Linked DNA regions of Arabidopsis thaliana. The protein of the gene in region 1 purifies or fractionates together with the protein of each later gene. This does not show direct contact. Each region holds a gene or a part of one and is shown in the gene's direction. Other genes may lie near its edges.

Region 1 (6,374 bases):
AGAATTGTCTTTTTCTTCATTAAGAAATTAATATGTTTGTTTACATCCAAATGTATTATATAGGAGTTGAAGCAAGAGGTTTCTTGTTTGGTCCTTCCATTGCATTAGCCATCGGCGCAAAGTTTATCCCTTTGCGTAAACCAGGAAAATTACCAGGTTTTTTTACTGCATTATCTGTTTTGGTTATTGTGATAGAGAAGCTCTTGAGATTCTGAAAAATTGGCGAAACTATAAAATATAGGGAAAGTGATATCGGAGTCTTATGAGCTCGAGTATGGGCATGACCGTTTAGAGATGCATGTTGGCGCTGTTGAGCCACGCGAACGCGTCATTATCATTGATGATCTTGTTGCTACTGGCGGCACTCTTTCTGCCGCAATGAGCCTATTGGGTTTCTTTCTTTCTTCTTGTTTTCTTTTTCAGTTTTTAAAGAGAATTTTTTGGTCTTGAATTGTAATGTGATACAGTTTGACGTTTTACAGAGAGCCAAGGAGCTGAAGTTGTTGAGTGTGCTTGTGTTATTGGCTTGCCTGAAGTCAAGGTGAGTCACATTTATCTTACTTGTCTAAGAAGTTATCTCTGGTTTTGTTCTTTTGAAATGATTTCTAAAATGTAGTGATAGAGTTAGTTTTTTTGTTATAATCTCAACTCAAATTTGCTCATTGAGTTTGTGAAAATTTTGAATTGTTTTTAGGGGCAACACAAGCTCAAAGGGAAGCCGCTTTATGTGTTGGTGGAGCCTAGTGGATTAGATGAGTTCTGTTAGGATACATACCGGTTACTTCCGGTTCAGTTTTCTTTCCCTGCAGAGTTCATGTTCTTTTTTTCAAAATTTCTAGGGTTCCAACTTCTTGTATTCGTTCTCGTTTATTGATCTCTGTAGATTTTGAATTTTGATGTGTACTTTCCACGGCAGTGGTTGGTAAAAAACCGAGATACTGAAAAGAGTCTTTACATTTCCCGGTTTGGTGGAATTTCTGATGGATCACTAACTCATGTTAATCAGTTTATAATAACTGTAATCATTAAAAGGGTAAAGATACGTTCGTAATTTATGCGGGAAATCTAAAAAGTACAACTAGTAGGTTTACTAAATTTAATGCTGATATTACTGAGCACTGATAAAGTTGGTTGTATTCTACGACAAAACTATTCATTACTGCAATATTGGTCCATATTTTTGCTTCAGCACTGCTGCAAGTTTTTCTTTGTTTCTCCCTAAACTTAACAACTTACTTCACTGATTTCAAATTATAAATTGAAAATCGTTAATAAAGTTTTCATGATACAAATTATTACATAAGCAAACTACTGTATGTGTTATTTATTGAAGACTATAAAACAATAAAAGTGAAAGTACACAATGGCTTTCCTTACAAAGCTTTATTTGCTAATAAACAGAAGAGTCTGATGGATAACTTGAGAACTCAGCAGAGCTGGTTAGATCGCGAAATCGGATTAGGGTTTCGAAATCTCTGAATTGCAAGAGTAAAAATATCTGAGCTTCGTCCAAACGATTCCAAAGAGAGTGAAAGATATGGTTGAACTCAGTCTAAATTGGGTTTTGTTTTAATTAATGGGCCTACAATTTTGTTGGGTCCTTGAAACAAAAACATTGTTATTAAGGGAAATGAAATATCTTAACTAAACCAATTTGTTATCTATTGTGCTCTACTGTTCTGTTCGTATTGACTCGAACCCACTAAACCAAGACGAGCCCTGACCGTCATTGTCTAAATTGACTCGAACCCACTAAAGAAAAAAAGAAAAAAAAACTTAGATAATAATTGGCGCAGAAGGGCCGATTAATAAAAACTTTAGGCCCATTAAAGTAAAGCTTATTGTCAACCCTATCCAGTCTCCTTGTATATATTTATTTACGACACCAACGCGGCGTTGGTGATTCATTCTCTTCAGTCAGAGATTTCGAAACCCTAGTCGATTTCGAGATCCAACCAACTCTGCTCCTTATCTCAGGTAAAATTCTCGCTCGAGAACTCAATTGCTTATCCAAAGTTCCAATGGAAGATGCTTTCCTACTGAATCTTAGGTTAATGTTTTGGATTTGGAATCTTACCCGAAATTTCTCTGCAGCTTGTTGAATTTGCGAAGTATGGGAGACGCTAGAGACAACGAAGCCTACGAGGAGGAGCTCTTGGACTATGAAGAAGAAGACGAGAAGGTCCCAGATTCTGGAAACAAAGTTAACGGTGAAGCCGTGAAAAAGTGAGTTTTATGATTTCCTCGATCTGTTTCATGAGATAGTGGATGTTTAAATTTAGGGTTTTCTTAGATTACTGCTTGATAACAACCGACTAAGTTCTTCAATTATCTATGTGTTTGGTTAGTTGCTTAACTTTATGACAATTGACTAAGTTCTTCAATGCTAAAATTCCTGGAACCTACCCAATATTAGACGGTCATGTGTTTATCATCTTGTATTTTCTCTTTGTGACAGAGGGTACGTGGGAATACACAGTTCTGGATTCAGAGACTTCCTTTTAAAACCGGAGCTTCTCAGAGCTATTGTTGACTCTGGATTTGAACATCCATCTGAAGGTTATTACAATGAAATACACCCTACCTTTGACTTTTCTGCCTTGCCTTTCACCATTCTATTACCGAATGATATTGTATAATTTACAGAAGTGACTTCTCCATAAGATGTTTTAGTTGTCCGGAAACTTTTAATTATATGTACTTCGTCTAGTTTTGAGAAGATATGTTGGTTAAAGATATTTTATACTTTATCTTGGTCCTTTGCTTATCATCTAACTAAATTAAAAAAAGTTTGTGTTGAGGTCAAATTCTTTTTTATTTCCTGTTATAATGGTTTTTGTTTTCTTTGTTTATTAACGTTTCACTGATTACTTTTTCCAGGTAATAAACGATATTTCAATCTATTGGTTTGGAGTGAGCTTAAACATGTGCTAAAGCCACCAATTTAAAAGATATGGAGGTTATCATCTACTTATAAAGGCTTTCTTCGGTACAATTTTCTTTGGTTCTCCACCAGTGCAACATGAATGTATCCCTCAAGCTATCTTGGGCATGGATGTCATCTGCCAAGCAAAGTCTGGTATGGGGAAGACTGCTGTGTTTGTCCTGTCTACTCTACAACAGATTGAACCATCTCCTGGCCAGGTTTCTGCACTTGTCTTGTGCCATACAAGAGAGCTAGCTTACCAGGTATGACCTTCTTGTTTCACTCAGGTTCTTGGCTTATAGTTTTGTTGTACGTCTTCTTCCTCTAATGCTTTTTGCCTTGATGCTGACAATTACTTGCAGATCTGCAATGAGTTTGTGCGATTCAGTACCTATCTGCCTGATACAAAGGTTTCGGTGTTCTATGGTGGAGTCAACATTAAAATTCACAAAGACTTGCTGAAGAATGAATGTCCTCACATTGTTGTTGGTACCCCTGGTCGGGTGCTTGCACTTGCCAGGGAGAAAGATCTCTCTTTGAAGAATGTGAGGCATTTTATTCTTGATGAATGTGATAAAATGCTCGAGTCACTTGGTATGCTGATTTCTGACATCATTATTACATCGATCCCTGAATAATTTTATGTTTTAACACTTTAACTTTTTTTTTACCAGACATGCGAAGGGATGTGCAGGAGATTTTCAAGATGACTCCTCATGACAAACAAGTAATGATGTTCTCAGCAACGCTCAGCAAAGAGATACGCCCAGTCTGCAAAAAATTTATGCAAGATGTAATGTTCCATGGCCAATTCTCTCTCCCTTTGCAAGTCTTCTAGTTTTCAACTATTTTTAGCCTTCTATGAGTGATCATAGCATTAGTTGAGCGTCTTCTGCGGTTCTGCCCTGGAAAAGCGGCAACTGATCTCTCAATGGGTCTCAATCCAATAATGGTTGGGTAGTTTGTAGGGAACGAGAACTGTGAGTGTGAGACTCTGTAGCTTTGGTATGGTTTCTATGGGTGATTATAGCATTATTTGGGCATCTTCTGCGGTTCTGCCCTGGAAAAGCTGCAACTGATCTCTCGATGGGTCTCAATCCACTAATGCTTTGGGTAGTTTGTAGGGATCGAGAACTGTGAGTGTGAGCCTCTGTAGCATTGGTATGAATGAGTGACCATTGCACAACAGGATCTTCTTTCGTCATTACCTTTTATTCAGTTTCAATTTCTTTGCAATTCTAGCAGTGCTGGGTGGGTTTTGGGTGGGGTACTGTGTTGTCCCAAGGTTTCATTGTGATTGTATGGGCCTTAATGTTCCGAGCAATATCGCTGTATCATAGCAAAACTCACATCTATGAAGAGAACCTGGTGGACGAGGATCTCAGATCAGGGGTTTTACATCCATCTTCACTTTTGTAGTGTAAATCATTTCCTGAGAAAAGCTTGCTAATTATTACCTGATATCTATTCCTTTCAGCCAATGGAAATATATGTCGATGATGAAGCCAAGTTGACTCTTCATGGGCTTGTCCAGGTACTCTTATCTGGTGTTAGGTCTTCTTATTCAATGGAAATATAGTTTGTTGTTTGATACTTAAAAGACCTTTTACTGTCATACTGTAACAGCACTATATCAAACTGAGCGAGATGGAGAAAAACCGGAAGTTGAATGACCTTCTTGATGCGTTGGACTTCAATCAAGTTGTCATTTTTGTGAAGAGCGTGAGCAGGGCTGCTGAGCTGAACAAGTTACTGGTGGAATGCAATTTCCCCTCAATATGCATCCACTCTGGAATGTCTCAAGAAGAGAGGTCTGTACATTCTCTTCAAAATTCAATGTTTTTGAAGGACCCTACCTGCTCTTAAAGCCCTCATGGAGAGGAGTCCAATTCTTAAGGCTAATACGATATGTTATGTAGGTTGACTCGATACAAAAGTTTCAAGGAAGGGCACAAAAGGATCCTTGTGGCGACTGACTTGGTAGGAAGAGGGATTGACATTGAGCGTGTCAACATTGTCATCAACTATGACATGCCAGATTCTGCTGATACCTATCTTCACAGGGTAAGTATATAATACTGAAATTTATTATTTGATTGTTGATCTCACTGAAAGGGCTCTTGTAACTTTACCGTTTTGCTGTGTATGGTATAGGTTGGCAGAGCTGGTAGATTTGGAACCAAGGGTCTTGCAATCACATTTGTTGCATCTGCTTCAGATTCAGAGGTTCTTAACCAGGTATGGTGTTCAATCTTTGTAATAAGTCCACGGAAAACTCCTCTTGAAATTGAGTTGGATATTTAGTAAAGTGGCAATTATAAATCTTGGACAGGTACAAGAGAGGTTTGAGGTTGATATAAAGGAACTTCCGGAGCAGATTGATACTTCAACCTACAGTAAGTGTGAAATCCCTTACCAATTGTTTGTTTAAAAGCTTGGTTTTGTCTGGTTGTGATATTAATGTTGTTTCTTCTTCTTTCTTTGTTCAGTGCCTTCTTAAACAAGTAGCACGTCCCTCAGGAAAGAAGCTCTTCAGATTTCAACCTTGTAGGTGTTCGAAGGGTGATGGGGGTTCACAACTATCTCTCGCTCCGTTTGTTTTAGTGTTTTCTATGACGACATTTTTTTCCATATGTTTAGAACGTCTGTTGTACTCTTTAAAGGAGATTCGAGTCACTCTCCAAATCGCACAGTTAAAAGCTGTCCAGTTTTTTGTACAAGAGATTATTATGTTTGAAATATCAGGATTTAGTCTCGACCTGATTACTGTGTTCCTTAGGAATCGATCTATTATCAATTTATCATGGTGTTGCTAAGAATCGTCATTCATCAGCGTTACTTCCTTCATGTGATGCTTTTTTTTTATAACACATTTCATTTAGTGTGGAAGAGATACAACACGTATATATGGTTACTTTATATATTGAAAAGTTTATATCCAAGGAACAATGGTTAGGGGAAAAAGGCAACTTGAAGGAGTCAATGTGTCCTTGCCTATTTGTCTTTTGACTTTTTAAGAGGCAAGTCTGTTGCCTTTGCATGAGAAAAAACTCAAAAAACAACACGCAAAAGAACATAATAATTAGGTTCATTCAGAAAGACTACGATCAGAGCCTATGCAGACTTAATCCTCGAGAATAGTGCAGCTCTTCGGGTGGGTATTGTTTTTGAGGTGATCAGATTTCTACGGTGAACCAAAGTTGGGTCGACTTCCACAATAATATCTACTTCATTTCGATCTCCAACATTAACTTCATCATTCAGAAGCTGATCTTGATCATCGGCTTCATTTAATGCTGGACCAGGTGGCTCAAGGACTTGATCATCAATTGGCGGACTAGTCGGAGCTCTCATGTTATCATCTGTTGGCTGATTAGGTGGAGCTCTCATGTTACCATCTGTTGGCGAATTATTAGCATTGATCTCGCCGCTTTTGCTTTCTTGGCGG
Region 2 (6,638 bases), on another chromosome or scaffold:
GTTTAAATATTTATAATGTTTAAATTTCTTATAAAAGAATCAAAATGTGTTTTAAAAAAATTAAAGTTTTAAGTTTTTTTTTTTAATATTGTTAATTTTGTTTAGTGTTTAAGATTATATAATTATATTATGATTGTTATTATATGTTTTTTTCCATAGCATACTATCCCATGTTATTATCCACTCAAACCCGTCACACCATATAACCCCGTCCCGTGAAATTAAACACAAATTTGTCATTTTATTATAAATTTCAAATATTTATAAAATTAGAAACTTCAAAAAAGATTAATATTGACCCAAACTTCATCATTGAATTTTGAGTGTTATATCTAAGATTTCTCTCGCAGTATATCGTCCCGTATTAATATCTTTTATATTGTTTAAATTTCTTGTAAAATTTAATTTATAATTTTTTAAACTTTTTAAAGTTTCAATTTTTTAAAATAAATAACCCTAGTAAACAAACCATTTTAATTTTGGACACCTCATAAATCAAGTTTCATGCTCATTCGTAATCGAAATCATTTTGGTCCTTTTTATAGTATGGCTCTTGACCATTGTCCAATTTTTTTAAGCGATGTGGGACATTCTAAAATCGTAATTATTATCCACCCAAACCCGTCCTACCATATAACCCAGTCACGTGAAATTAAACATAATTTTGTCATTTTCTTATAAATTTCAATATTATAAAATTTGGAACTTAAAAAAATACAATATCGACCCAAAATTCATCATTGAATTTTGATTGTTATATTTAAGATTTTTTCTGTAATATATCGTCTCGTATTAATAAATTTTTTATATATTTATAATGTTAAATTTCTTGTAAAATTCAATTTATAATTCTTAAAACTTTATAAGTTTTAAAATTATAAATATTTAAAGCATTTTTTAAAGATAAACTTTATAAAAAAATTTAAAATTATAATATTTAACTTTTGATAAAGTTATAATATTTATAATTTTTTGAGACATTTTAAAGTTTCAATTCTTTAAAATAAAAAATCCCAGTAAAATCGGATAACTATTTTAATTTTGGACGCCTGATAAATCAAGCTTCCTGCTCATTCGTAATCAGAATCATTTTGGTCCTTTTATAATATGGGTCTGAACCATTGTCCAATTTTTCTAAGCGATGTGGGACATTGTACACATATTATTTCTTCATAGGTTGAATAATATATGTCCATTTAAAAAAATTAGAATTACATCATATTCAGAAAAAAATATAATATTTTATTAATTATATATATTTTATATAAATTCAAAATAAATAAAGTATAAGATCAAATAAAATTGAAAGAAGAATTATATATTTATGTTTAAATTAGGTAGAAATATTTTAGGAAATTAGTTAAGGTAAATAAGAAATATGGTTAGTTTAGAGATATTGTTTATATTAAATTTGGTAATTAAATCATTAATTTTCGTTTTTAATTATTAGTTTTTAGGTAACTTTTCCAAAAATTAATGTTATCTAAGATCAGAACAGAATTAAACATGTTATCCAGAATCCGAACAGAGTTAAACCGGGTAAAACCCACCCATTTGAATTAATTGTTGAATTATGGCTCAAATCTTCAACATTATCTTCAAAAATCCCCTCCAAAAATGTATATATAGATAACGGAAACAAGATTAATGTATCATCATTCATTCCTTGTTGATTTAATTAAACAGATGAACAAATGATATGTAATAATAAGGTCTCGGTTTACAGTGAAAGTGATTTAATTTAGTATCTTTGTTACTTCGATTATTGAATTGAGCGTGTGTACTTATGAAGATTAAATCGATGATGCATGGGCTCATGAAGATTAAAAAACTCAATAGACACTTAACCAGAATTAATGATATTGGCCCGATGAGTATTGGCCCATTAAGGCCCATTAAGAGAGCGAAAACCCTAAACGAGAAACAAGGGATATACTCAGAGCATCTTCCTTGGTTACTATATAATAAGCTTTAGGCTGCTAGACGCCTGCCTCCTTGCACCTCTTTTCTTTCTCTCGTTCTCATCTTTCTCTCTAAGGTTAGTCCCTTGTGTAGATCCTCTCTTCATCGATTCAATTTCATCTTCCTTGGTTTGATTTAGGAATTTTGTCACGATTTGGTGTTTAGATGATGGAGTCTTGCTGTTGATCTATGTTTATAGCACTTTGTTTCCATGGTTCTGTTGTTTCTTACCGTTTGTTGTGCATCGATCTGGTTTTGGTAGATCCCTCGTAGATAATAATCTGAATATGTCAAAGTTTTCTTACAAGTCTGTTGTGTTTTCAGTTTTGATTGATATTGTTATCCATGTAGTAGTCGATCATCCAAAAACTGGTTCAGTGTGATTCTCCGATCATCGCCGCTGATTTTATATTTATCATCATGTATAGATTTGCAGGTTTTATTTTGTTCGTTGTGTGTTTTTGTTCTTTGTTAAATTTAACCTCTATGCATTTGATGTACATGTTTTTGTGTTGGTCTCAGTTTCTCTTATTCTGTATAAGCTAAGCTAAAGTCTCCATGGTTAGTGTCTGTTTAGTATTAAAATATTTCAATTTGCTAATTCTTTATGTTTTTGTGATGATATTGCAGAGATTTTGTAGGTGACAATCAAAAGTTTGACAAAATGGTAAGACTTTTGTTTTTCTTACATTTATTTACATTATTACTATGTGGATACAAGCATATAACGATTTTATGAACTTGCAGGTGAAGTTTACAGCTGATGAGCTTCGAAGGATTATGGACTACAAACACAACATCCGTAATATGTCTGTTATTGCTCATGTCGACCACGGTATAATCTTCATCACTTTTTTTGTACTATTCTTGTCAGTTTTGATCTCTTGTTTGTTTACTGAATTTGCTGGTCGAATTGTAATCTGAATCTAATGCATCTCTTTATATACTAATGTTTATAGTCTGTTTTGAAATTAATAGCGTCTCTTATCTGTTTTCTGAGTTTGCTGAACGTTTAAAAAAGTTTAAACTAATGCATCTTTATTTCATGATCAACAGGGAAATCCACTCTTACTGATTCTTTGGTTGCTGCTGCTGGTATCATTGCCCAAGAGGTTGCTGGTGATGTTCGTATGACTGATACCAGAGCTGATGAGGCTGAACGTGGTATCACTATCAAGTCCACTGGTATTTCTCTCTACTACGAGATGACTGATGAATCCTTGAAGAGTTTCACTGGAGCCAGAGACGGAAACGAGTACCTCATCAATCTTATTGATTCACCTGGGCACGTTGACTTTTCTTCTGAGGTTACTGCTGCTCTCCGTATTACTGATGGTGCTCTTGTGGTGGTCGACTGCATTGAGGGTGTGTGTGTTCAGACTGAGACTGTTCTACGTCAGGCTCTTGGTGAGAGGATTCGACCTGTCTTGACTGTCAACAAGATGGACAGGTGTTTCCTTGAGCTTCAGGTTGATGGTGAGGAGGCTTACCAGACTTTCTCGAGGGTTATTGAGAACGCTAATGTCATCATGGCTACATACGAGGATCCTCTCCTTGGTGATGTTCAGGTTTACCCAGAGAAGGGAACTGTGGCGTTTTCTGCTGGTCTCCATGGATGGGCGTTTACACTGACCAACTTCGCCAAGATGTATGCTTCCAAGTTCGGTGTTGTTGAATCTAAGATGATGGAGAGGCTCTGGGGTGAGAATTTCTTTGACCCTGCCACCAGGAAGTGGAGTGGCAAAAACACTGGTTCCCCGACCTGCAAGCGTGGGTTTGTTCAGTTCTGCTATGAACCCATCAAGCAAATTATTGCTACTTGCATGAATGACCAGAAGGATAAGTTGTGGCCTATGTTGGCGAAGCTTGGTGTCTCAATGAAGAATGATGAGAAGGAGCTTATGGGTAAACCTCTAATGAAGCGTGTTATGCAGACTTGGCTCCCTGCAAGTACTGCACTACTTGAGATGATGATCTTTCATTTGCCATCTCCCCACACTGCCCAGAGGTACCGTGTTGAGAATCTGTATGAAGGTCCTCTTGATGATCAGTATGCAAATGCCATCAGGAACTGTGACCCCAATGGACCTCTCATGCTCTACGTATCCAAGATGATTCCAGCCTCTGACAAGGGTAGATTCTTTGCCTTCGGTCGTGTCTTTGCTGGTAAGGTTTCTACTGGTATGAAGGTCAGAATCATGGGTCCCAACTATATCCCTGGTGAGAAGAAGGATCTGTACACTAAGAGTGTTCAGAGGACTGTCATTTGGATGGGTAAGAGGCAAGAGACAGTGGAGGATGTCCCTTGTGGTAACACTGTTGCTATGGTTGGGCTGGATCAGTTCATCACCAAGAATGCTACATTGACTAATGAGAAGGAAGTTGATGCTCACCCCATTCGTGCTATGAAGTTTTCTGTGTCTCCTGTTGTTCGTGTTGCTGTTCAGTGTAAGGTTGCGTCTGACCTTCCCAAGTTGGTTGAGGGTCTCAAGAGGTTGGCCAAGTCTGATCCTATGGTTGTGTGTACAATGGAGGAATCAGGTGAGCACATTGTTGCTGGTGCAGGAGAACTCCATCTTGAGATTTGTCTTAAGGATCTTCAGGATGATTTCATGGGTGGTGCTGAAATTATCAAGTCAGACCCTGTGGTCTCCTTCCGTGAGACAGTTTGTGATAGATCTACTCGCACAGTTATGAGTAAGTCTCCTAACAAGCATAACCGTCTGTACATGGAAGCAAGACCCATGGAGGAAGGTCTAGCTGAGGCTATTGATGATGGACGTATTGGCCCAAGGGATGACCCTAAGATCAGATCCAAGATCTTGGCTGAGGAGTTTGGATGGGACAAGGATCTTGCAAAGAAGATCTGGGCTTTTGGACCTGAAACCACAGGGCCTAACATGGTTGTCGATATGTGTAAGGGAGTTCAGTACCTTAACGAAATCAAGGATTCAGTTGTTGCTGGTTTCCAGTGGGCGTCCAAGGAAGGTCCTCTTGCTGAAGAGAACATGAGAGGTATCTGTTTTGAGGTATGTGATGTGGTGCTTCACTCTGATGCCATCCACAGAGGAGGTGGTCAGGTTATCCCCACAGCCAGAAGGGTCATATACGCTTCCCAGATCACAGCTAAGCCCAGACTTTTGGAGCCGGTTTACATGGTTGAGATCCAGGCACCAGAGGGAGCTCTTGGAGGAATCTACAGTGTGCTGAATCAGAAGCGTGGACACGTGTTCGAGGAGATGCAGAGGCCAGGAACTCCCTTGTACAACATCAAGGCATACCTGCCTGTTGTGGAGTCTTTCGGATTCTCAAGTCAGCTTAGGGCAGCAACCTCAGGACAGGCATTCCCACAGTGTGTGTTTGATCATTGGGAAATGATGTCTTCTGACCCTCTTGAGCCAGGTACTCAGGCTTCAGTTTTGGTGGCTGATATCAGGAAGAGGAAGGGATTGAAGGAAGCGATGACTCCACTATCTGAGTTCGAAGACAAGCTTTAAGCTTCACCAAGACTCGTACTAGCCTTTTTCCCAATGGTTGCTACTCTCTCTATCTTAATTTTGTCTTGTTTTATTAATACTCTTATGGTATGACGGATTGTGAAGACTTTTCTCTCGCCATCCCCTGAATGTTTTTTACTTTTTTCCTAGTTGAGAACTTTGTTATTGTGTTCGCAAATATCTTGGTTTTGATTCTGTCTTGCTCTTTTTTTTTATATTCTTTTCTCTTCCGATCATTCATATATTCATGCATATTATTTAGGTTACTTACCGGAACACAGGATGTAATTGTGTTAAGTCTCAGACTGTTTTATCATTGAATGTTGGAAGAGGACATGTTTTTTAGGTAGGATGAGATTTTCTTTCAGAGATGTTGATAAACAGTGTCAGAGTATGATTTTGTTCTATTAGAGATTGTAATTGTCAGTCATGCATTAGGTTCACTTACATGGTAACGGATTATTTGTGGTGTTGTTGATTTAGTAAATTGGAATGTTGAAGAATGCAGCCAGGTCCCTTGAATAGTGGGAGCTCCTTAAAAAATATTCCAAGTCGATAGTGTTTAGAAGATGCGTTCGGTGGCTATTTCCTAAGGAAACCCACATTGCTCATTTATCACTTAGTTTAATTATCTCATCTATAAATAAAACGTCCAGTTTGGACACCAAATCACGAATCACTTATTAATCTTTGGTGATCTTGTGTATTAGTTTTAAGAGGATGTCATTTAGAGAGTTAATAAGCTGATTCGTGATTTAACACCATTGGCCCAAATACATGATTGATTATGGGTCGTACAAGGCAACAATAAGGTTGGTTACTTATCAAAACACCGGTGAGAACACGTCCATTGACTCGTTATGAAGTGTTTTGACCTGGAACCTTCAGAGACGACCAGAATCAAGGACGCCTCCTACTTTTATTTGAAACGCGTTGTGTCGTGTTCGGTCTGGCTAGAAACCGGAAGTTTCTACGAACACACCTCCTAACAAATTCAATATCTTAAACCGGAAGATAACGTCAGAAAATGTATAAATATACACTTTGAATTGAAGCAATTCACAAAAATCATTCATCATCTCTCTTAACTCATCATTACACAGACATAGCAATGGCTCAGTATCATCAACAGCATGGTGAGTCATTCTTGTACATTACACAATTGCTGATATATATGTT
Region 3 (5,542 bases), on another chromosome or scaffold:
TAATAAAGTAACAAAAGCGTTTAAAAAAACATTAAGAAGCCCACAAAGGAAACAAAGCCCATTAGGTGGAGGAGATGAAACGATGGAACTTCTTGTCTTGTCACGGATGAGAGAAATATTGGAGAGAACCATTGGAGAGAAAGCAGAGTTACTTGCCAATTTCGAATTCTGAGAGCGAAGAGCCGAGATTCTGTTTGTAGTTTGGATGATGAATACGATTGTTCATGTTCCTTTTATCTCCAGATTTCGTAAATTCGTCAATTTAAGAGACGATTAGCTCAGTTTACAATCGAGTCAGTATATATCGAATTAAACTGCAGAGGTTTTGGGTGTTCCCGAGACATGACTAGGATATGGTTCAATAAACAGTTGGAATTGGCGTGAAAATTGTAGATAGGTTAAGCTTTATACTTCAAATCATGCAATCGAGTAGTCTGATATCATTTTACTGACTGATTCCACTGGTTATCCAGTAGCCAACTATGTACGTGTGATTGATTGTGTAGTAATTTCCGTCTTGTACTTTGTAAGTTGGGTTCTTATTCTGCTGCATTTGGCTATTCCGTGTCTGATGACCTTTGTTTTTTCCTTTTGCAGCTTTGTTAGAGTCTCATTTAGATCCATGTCTCTTTGCTTTAATTGGTCACAATGCTTCTTCTGGTTTTATTGCAGCGGAAACGGTTTATTGAACAAACGAAGACTCTTTATGGTATGAATTTCCTGGCATCTGTTTCAAGTTTACTTTCTAAAACCTGGAAGTTCGGCACATGAGCAGTTCCTTTTAGAACAGTTTGTTTACTTAAACCTTTGACGCCCTTTTGTGTACTGGTATAAACCTCCTGCCTCTTCTCTCATCTGTTTCAGGCTTCGATTCCACCCTTCATATTACAGTCGCAATTACAAACTAGTGTCAATGAGAGAACCCAATTCGATCAGAGGTATGCTTTCTCTTCTTGACAACAAGTAAAGTAAACAGGGTTTCTGTTTCTCCACTTCCTTTTATGGTTTTGGTTTTGAAAAGTGAAATCTTTATGTGAAAGTTCCATTTTTTTGTTTTAATAGGATTTGAGATTAATGAGTAATTTAAAATAAGTGAGCCTATTTAGGCCCTAAAGACAAAAAAAATCCTAACTTTTTGTCTTTTTTTATTAAACTAAAATATCAGGGTCATGATTTACAATCTTTATTTTTTCTTGATACTTTTCATGATTTTAGTTTGTAAAAAAAAATGTATAAAATCATAAACCAATAACACCATAATTAAAATCATTAAGAATCATAGATTCATTTGTTTTAGTTTAATAACATCAATTTTTAATGACTTTATTAAATTATGAATCTAATAACTCAAAATTTATGAAGACTTTAGATTATTTTGTATAAATCAAAATCTAATAACACTAACTGTTAACAGAATCTTATAAAATCTTAATTTAATTACACAAGATTTTTTATAACATTAAATCGCTAAAAATTTATATAAATCGTAAACCAATAATACCCCCTAATTTTTTTAAAAAAAATAGGATTTCAGATTAATGAGTAATTTAAAATAAGTGAGCCCATTTAGGCCCTTAAGACAAAATAAAACCCGACAGAGATTCTCTGTGTGAAACCCTAAATATTAAAATCAGAAGGCAAAGGCACTTTCTTATAATATACAGAGAGTAACGCTTCTGCTCATCTTTTCACGTCCAAGGCTGCACCCGTACTCGCTCCAGGTTGGTTAAGATTTTAGTTTACCTTCGCTCCCTCTTCTTCTTCTTCTTTTCCCATTTATTAATTTTTTACAGATTGTTGATTCTCTCTTCTTCTCTCTACTGCTGATCTATGAATTCTAGTATTATTTTCCGATAATTTTCTTACTGTCTCTTCTTTCTCTGCAGAGAATTTTGTAGGCGTGAGGAAAAAAGCAAGTCAAGATGGTAAGCTTTTTTTCTTTTCTTTCAGAGTACTATTCATTTATTTTTTGTGTAGTGATCTGCCTTGTGTTTTGTTTAACACGTTTTTGTTAAAAAATCTTGCAGGTGAAGTTTACAGTTGAAGAGCAACGGAAAATTACGGATCGTAAACACAACATCCGTAACATGTCTGTCATCGCCCATGTCGATCATGGTATTTATCTCTTTAAAAATTGTTCGTTGTATATGAATCTCATATCACTCTGTTTTTATGGCTTATTGATGTTAAAGTATAACATAACATAAAAAAACGATTTTATTTTATATATCTTTTATTTATATAGTTCTGTTTCTTTTTTGTTGATGAAATATTTGCTCTTTTATACATATGTTTGCTAAGCATGTGTTTTTTCTATCAAACTTGATACTAAATAAAAGTTTTGTGATCTTTTAATGATAGGGAAATCTACACTTACGGATTCACTTGTTGCTGCTGCTGGTATCATTGCTCAAGAAACTGCGGGTGATGTGCGTATGACTGATACTCGTGCTGATGAGGCAGAACGTGGTATCACCATCAAGTCCACTGGTATCTCTCTCTACTATGAGATGACTGATGCGTCTCTGAAGAGTTTCACCGGAGCTAGAGATGGCAATGAGTACCTGATCAACCTCATTGACTCTCCTGGACACGTTGACTTTTCTTCAGAGGTCACAGCTGCTCTCCGTATCACTGATGGTGCTCTTGTGGTTGTTGACTGCATTGAAGGTGTTTGTGTGCAGACTGAGACTGTGCTCAGGCAATCTCTTGGTGAAAGGATTAGGCCTGTTTTGACTGTCAACAAGATGGACAGGTGTTTCCTTGAGCTTAAGGTTGATGGTGAGGAGGCGTATCAGAATTTCCAGAGGGTCATTGAGAATGCTAATGTCATCATGGCCACGCATGAGGATCCTCTCCTCGGTGATGTTCAGGTTTACCCTGAAAAGGGGACAGTAGCTTTCTCTGCTGGTCTCCACGGATGGGCTTTCACTCTCACCAATTTTGCTAAGATGTATGCTTCCAAGTTTGGTGTCTCTGAATCTAAAATGATGGAGAGGCTGTGGGGTGAGAACTTCTTTGATTCTGCAACCAGAAAATGGACGACCAAAAACTGGCTCCCCGACCTGCAAGCGTGGGTTTGTTCAGTTCTGTTATGAACCCATTAAGATAATGATCAACACTTGTATGAATGATCAGAAGGATAAGCTGTGGCCGATGTTAGAGAAGCTTGGTATTCAGATGAAGCCCGATGAGAAAGAGTTGATGGGTAAACCTTTGATGAAGCGTGTCATGCAGGCATGGCTTCCTGCGAGTACCGCTCTTCTTGAAATGATGATCTTTCACTTACCATCACCCTACACTGCGCAGAGGTACCGTGTTGAGAACTTGTATGAAGGTCCCCTTGATGATAAGTATGCTGCAGCTATCAGAAACTGTGATCCAGACGGTCCTTTGATGCTCTACGTCTCTAAGATGATTCCCGCATCTGACAAGGGCAGGTTCTTTGCCTTCGGTCGTGTCTTTTCTGGTACGGTTTCTACTGGTATGAAAGTCAGGATCATGGGTCCTAACTATGTCCCTGGTGAAAAGAAAGATCTGTATGTCAAAAGTGTGCAGAGGACTGTCATTTGGATGGGTAAGAAACAAGAGACAGTGGAGGATGTTCCTTGTGGTAATACTGTTGCTATGGTTGGGCTGGATCAGTTCATCACCAAGAATGGTACCTTGACGAATTAGAAGGAAGTGGACGCACACCCGCTTCGTGCCATGAAGTTTTCTGTCTCTCCCGTTGTTCGTGTTGCTGTGAAATGCAAGCTAGCGTCTGACCTTCCCAAGCTTGTAGAAGGTCTTAAGAGGCTGGCCAAGTCTGACCCTATGGTTCTATGCACAATGGAAGAGTCTGGTGAGCACATTGTTGCAGGTGCTGGAGAACTCCACATTGAAATTTGTGTCAAGGATCTTCAAGATTTTATGGGTGGTGCGGATATCATAGTGTCAGATCCTGTTGTTTCGTTACGAGAGACAGTCTTTGAGAGGTCTTGCCGGACTGTGATGAGTAAGTCCCCAAACAAACACAACCGTCTTTACATGGAAGCCAGACCAATGGAGGATGGTCTAGCAGAGGCCATTGATGAAGGCCGCATCGGTCCATCTGATGACCCCAAGATCCGATCCAAGATTCTTGCAGAAGAGTTTGGGTGGGACAAGGATCTTGCCAAGAAAATCTGGGCGTTTGGACCTGACACCACAGGGCCCAACATGGTGGTTGACATGTGTAAGGGAGTGCAGTACTTGAATGAAATCAAGGACTCAGTGGTTGCTGGGTTCCAATGGGCTTCAAAGGAAGGTCCTTTAGCAGAGGAAAACATGAGAGGGGTCTGTTATGAGGTGTGTGATGTTGTGCTCCATGCTGATGCAATCCACAGAGGATGTGGTCAGATGATCTCAACAGCAAGAAGAGCCATCTATGCATCACAACTCACGGCCAAGCCTAGACTTCTTGAGCCGGTTTACATGGTCGAGATACAAGCACCTGAGGGAGCTTTAGGAGGAATCTACAGTGTGTTGAATCAGAAGCGTGGACATGTGTTTGAAGAAATGCAAAGGCCAGGAACGCCTCTCTACAACATCAAAGCCTACCTTCCTGTGGTCGAGTCATTTGGTTTCTCAGGTCAGCTAAGGGCTGCAACCTCAGGACAAGCCTTTCCTCAGTGTGTGTTTGACCATTGGGACATGATGTCTTCTGATCCGCTTGAGACTGGCTCACAGGCTGCGACATTGGTAGCTGATATCAGGAAGAGAAAAGGTTTGAAGCTACAAATGACTCCACTCTCTGATTATGAAGACAAATTGTAAGCGGAACATAGCTCCTCTAACTCTTTCTCAAAGACTCTTATCTCCCTCTTAGGCTTGTTTATTGTTCACATTTTTGATTCAGACTTACACCCTGTTTTTTGTTCACTCTTTTTACTTCATAGACCTATCAATTCAGTAGTATTGTTTATACTAGTTGAGTTATTTTCTGTTTCATAACTTGTTTTTTTTGTTCTCTTCGATGACGAACGTCCTAAGCGTCGATAATAAACCTCTCAAGTCTGAAGCTGTATTGTTTTAATATAGAGTGAGAACAAAATATCAGGTCACATTTTTGCTCTTGTTGAGTTGTTTCTCTTGTTATGACTCTCACAGTTGGGTTCTTATAATAGCAGCATTTTTCAGCCAGTGAATTTAGTTAAACCAACCGGGTTCAAGAAGCATTTCTAGGTAGTCCTGAGCTTGTTTCGGCTTTCCCATCTTGTATTAGCCATAGATTCAGCCTTCTAGGTAGTCCTGAGCTTGTTTTTCAGAACTCTCTTTCCATGTTAGCGAACCATAAATTGGGCTTAGTTACTAGTATTGTGTTCCGCAACTCATTTTCTCTTCCTTCTTTATTGGCACATTTACAATGTTGTCTTTTTATTTTCTTTGATTTCAAGATGTGCTCATTCATGTCTTAGATATGTATCTTTAAACCAAACTTTTCAGCTCAACTAGAACATGTCATCGCCTCAACATAGTGGAGATCAAGAAAAGTGGCATGTGACTGTTTGAGTTTTAAGAA

Evidence for each region.
Region 2: the proteins of UAP56a (region 1) and LOS1 fractionate together in Arabidopsis thaliana (co-fractionation; one large-scale study listed by BioGRID). This does not show direct contact.
Region 3: the proteins of UAP56a (region 1) and AT3G12915 fractionate together in Arabidopsis thaliana (co-fractionation; one large-scale study listed by BioGRID). This does not show direct contact.

Annotation. Positions count from the first base shown.
Region 1 is NC_003076.8:3,551,221-3,557,594, forward strand, and holds UAP56a (DEAD/DEAH box RNA helicase family protein), read left to right. Parts: upstream 1-1,875; 5' UTR 1,876-1,977; intron 1,978-2,094; 5' UTR 2,095-2,113; coding exon 2,114-2,226; intron 2,227-2,458; coding exon 2,459-2,559; intron 2,560-2,880; exon of another isoform or gene 2,881-3,016; coding exon 3,017-3,189; intron 3,190-3,288; coding exon 3,289-3,520; intron 3,521-3,600; coding exon 3,601-3,719; intron 3,720-4,403; coding exon 4,404-4,460; intron 4,461-4,552; coding exon 4,553-4,737; intron 4,738-4,845; coding exon 4,846-4,990; intron 4,991-5,080; coding exon 5,081-5,164; intron 5,165-5,258; coding exon 5,259-5,322; intron 5,323-5,415; coding exon 5,416-5,426; 3' UTR 5,427-5,798; downstream 5,799-6,374. Other genes in the region: APT5 (adenine phosphoribosyltransferase 5), read left to right, coding at 64-156, 242-391, 483-541, 695-766; GLR2.6 (glutamate receptor 2.6), read right to left, coding at 6,041-6,374. UniProt on the Arabidopsis thaliana protein: ATP-dependent RNA helicase involved in pre-mRNA splicing. Required for the export of mRNA out of the nucleus. In addition to ssRNA and dsRNA, binds dsDNA, but not ssDNA.
Region 2 is NC_003070.9:20,967,066-20,973,703, reverse strand, and holds LOS1 (Ribosomal protein S5/Elongation factor G/III/V family protein), read left to right. Parts: upstream 1-1,961; 5' UTR 1,962-2,038; exon of another isoform or gene 2,039-2,592; 5' UTR 2,593-2,626; coding exon 2,627-2,629; intron 2,630-2,709; coding exon 2,710-2,797; intron 2,798-3,018; coding exon 3,019-5,459; 3' UTR 5,460-6,052; downstream 6,053-6,638. Other genes in the region: AT1G56060 (cysteine-rich/transmembrane domain protein B), read left to right, coding at 6,571-6,595. UniProt on the Arabidopsis thaliana protein: Catalyzes the GTP-dependent ribosomal translocation step during translation elongation.
Region 3 is NC_003074.8:4,110,912-4,116,453, forward strand, and holds AT3G12915 (Ribosomal protein S5/Elongation factor G/III/V family protein), read left to right. Parts: upstream 1-1,922; coding exon 1,923-1,925; exon of another isoform or gene 1,926-2,027; coding exon 2,028-2,115; intron 2,116-2,245; exon of another isoform or gene 2,246-2,361; coding exon 2,362-3,077; coding exon of another isoform or gene 3,078-3,138; coding exon 3,139-3,661; coding exon of another isoform or gene 3,662-3,760; coding exon 3,761-4,797; 3' UTR 4,798-5,040; downstream 5,041-5,542.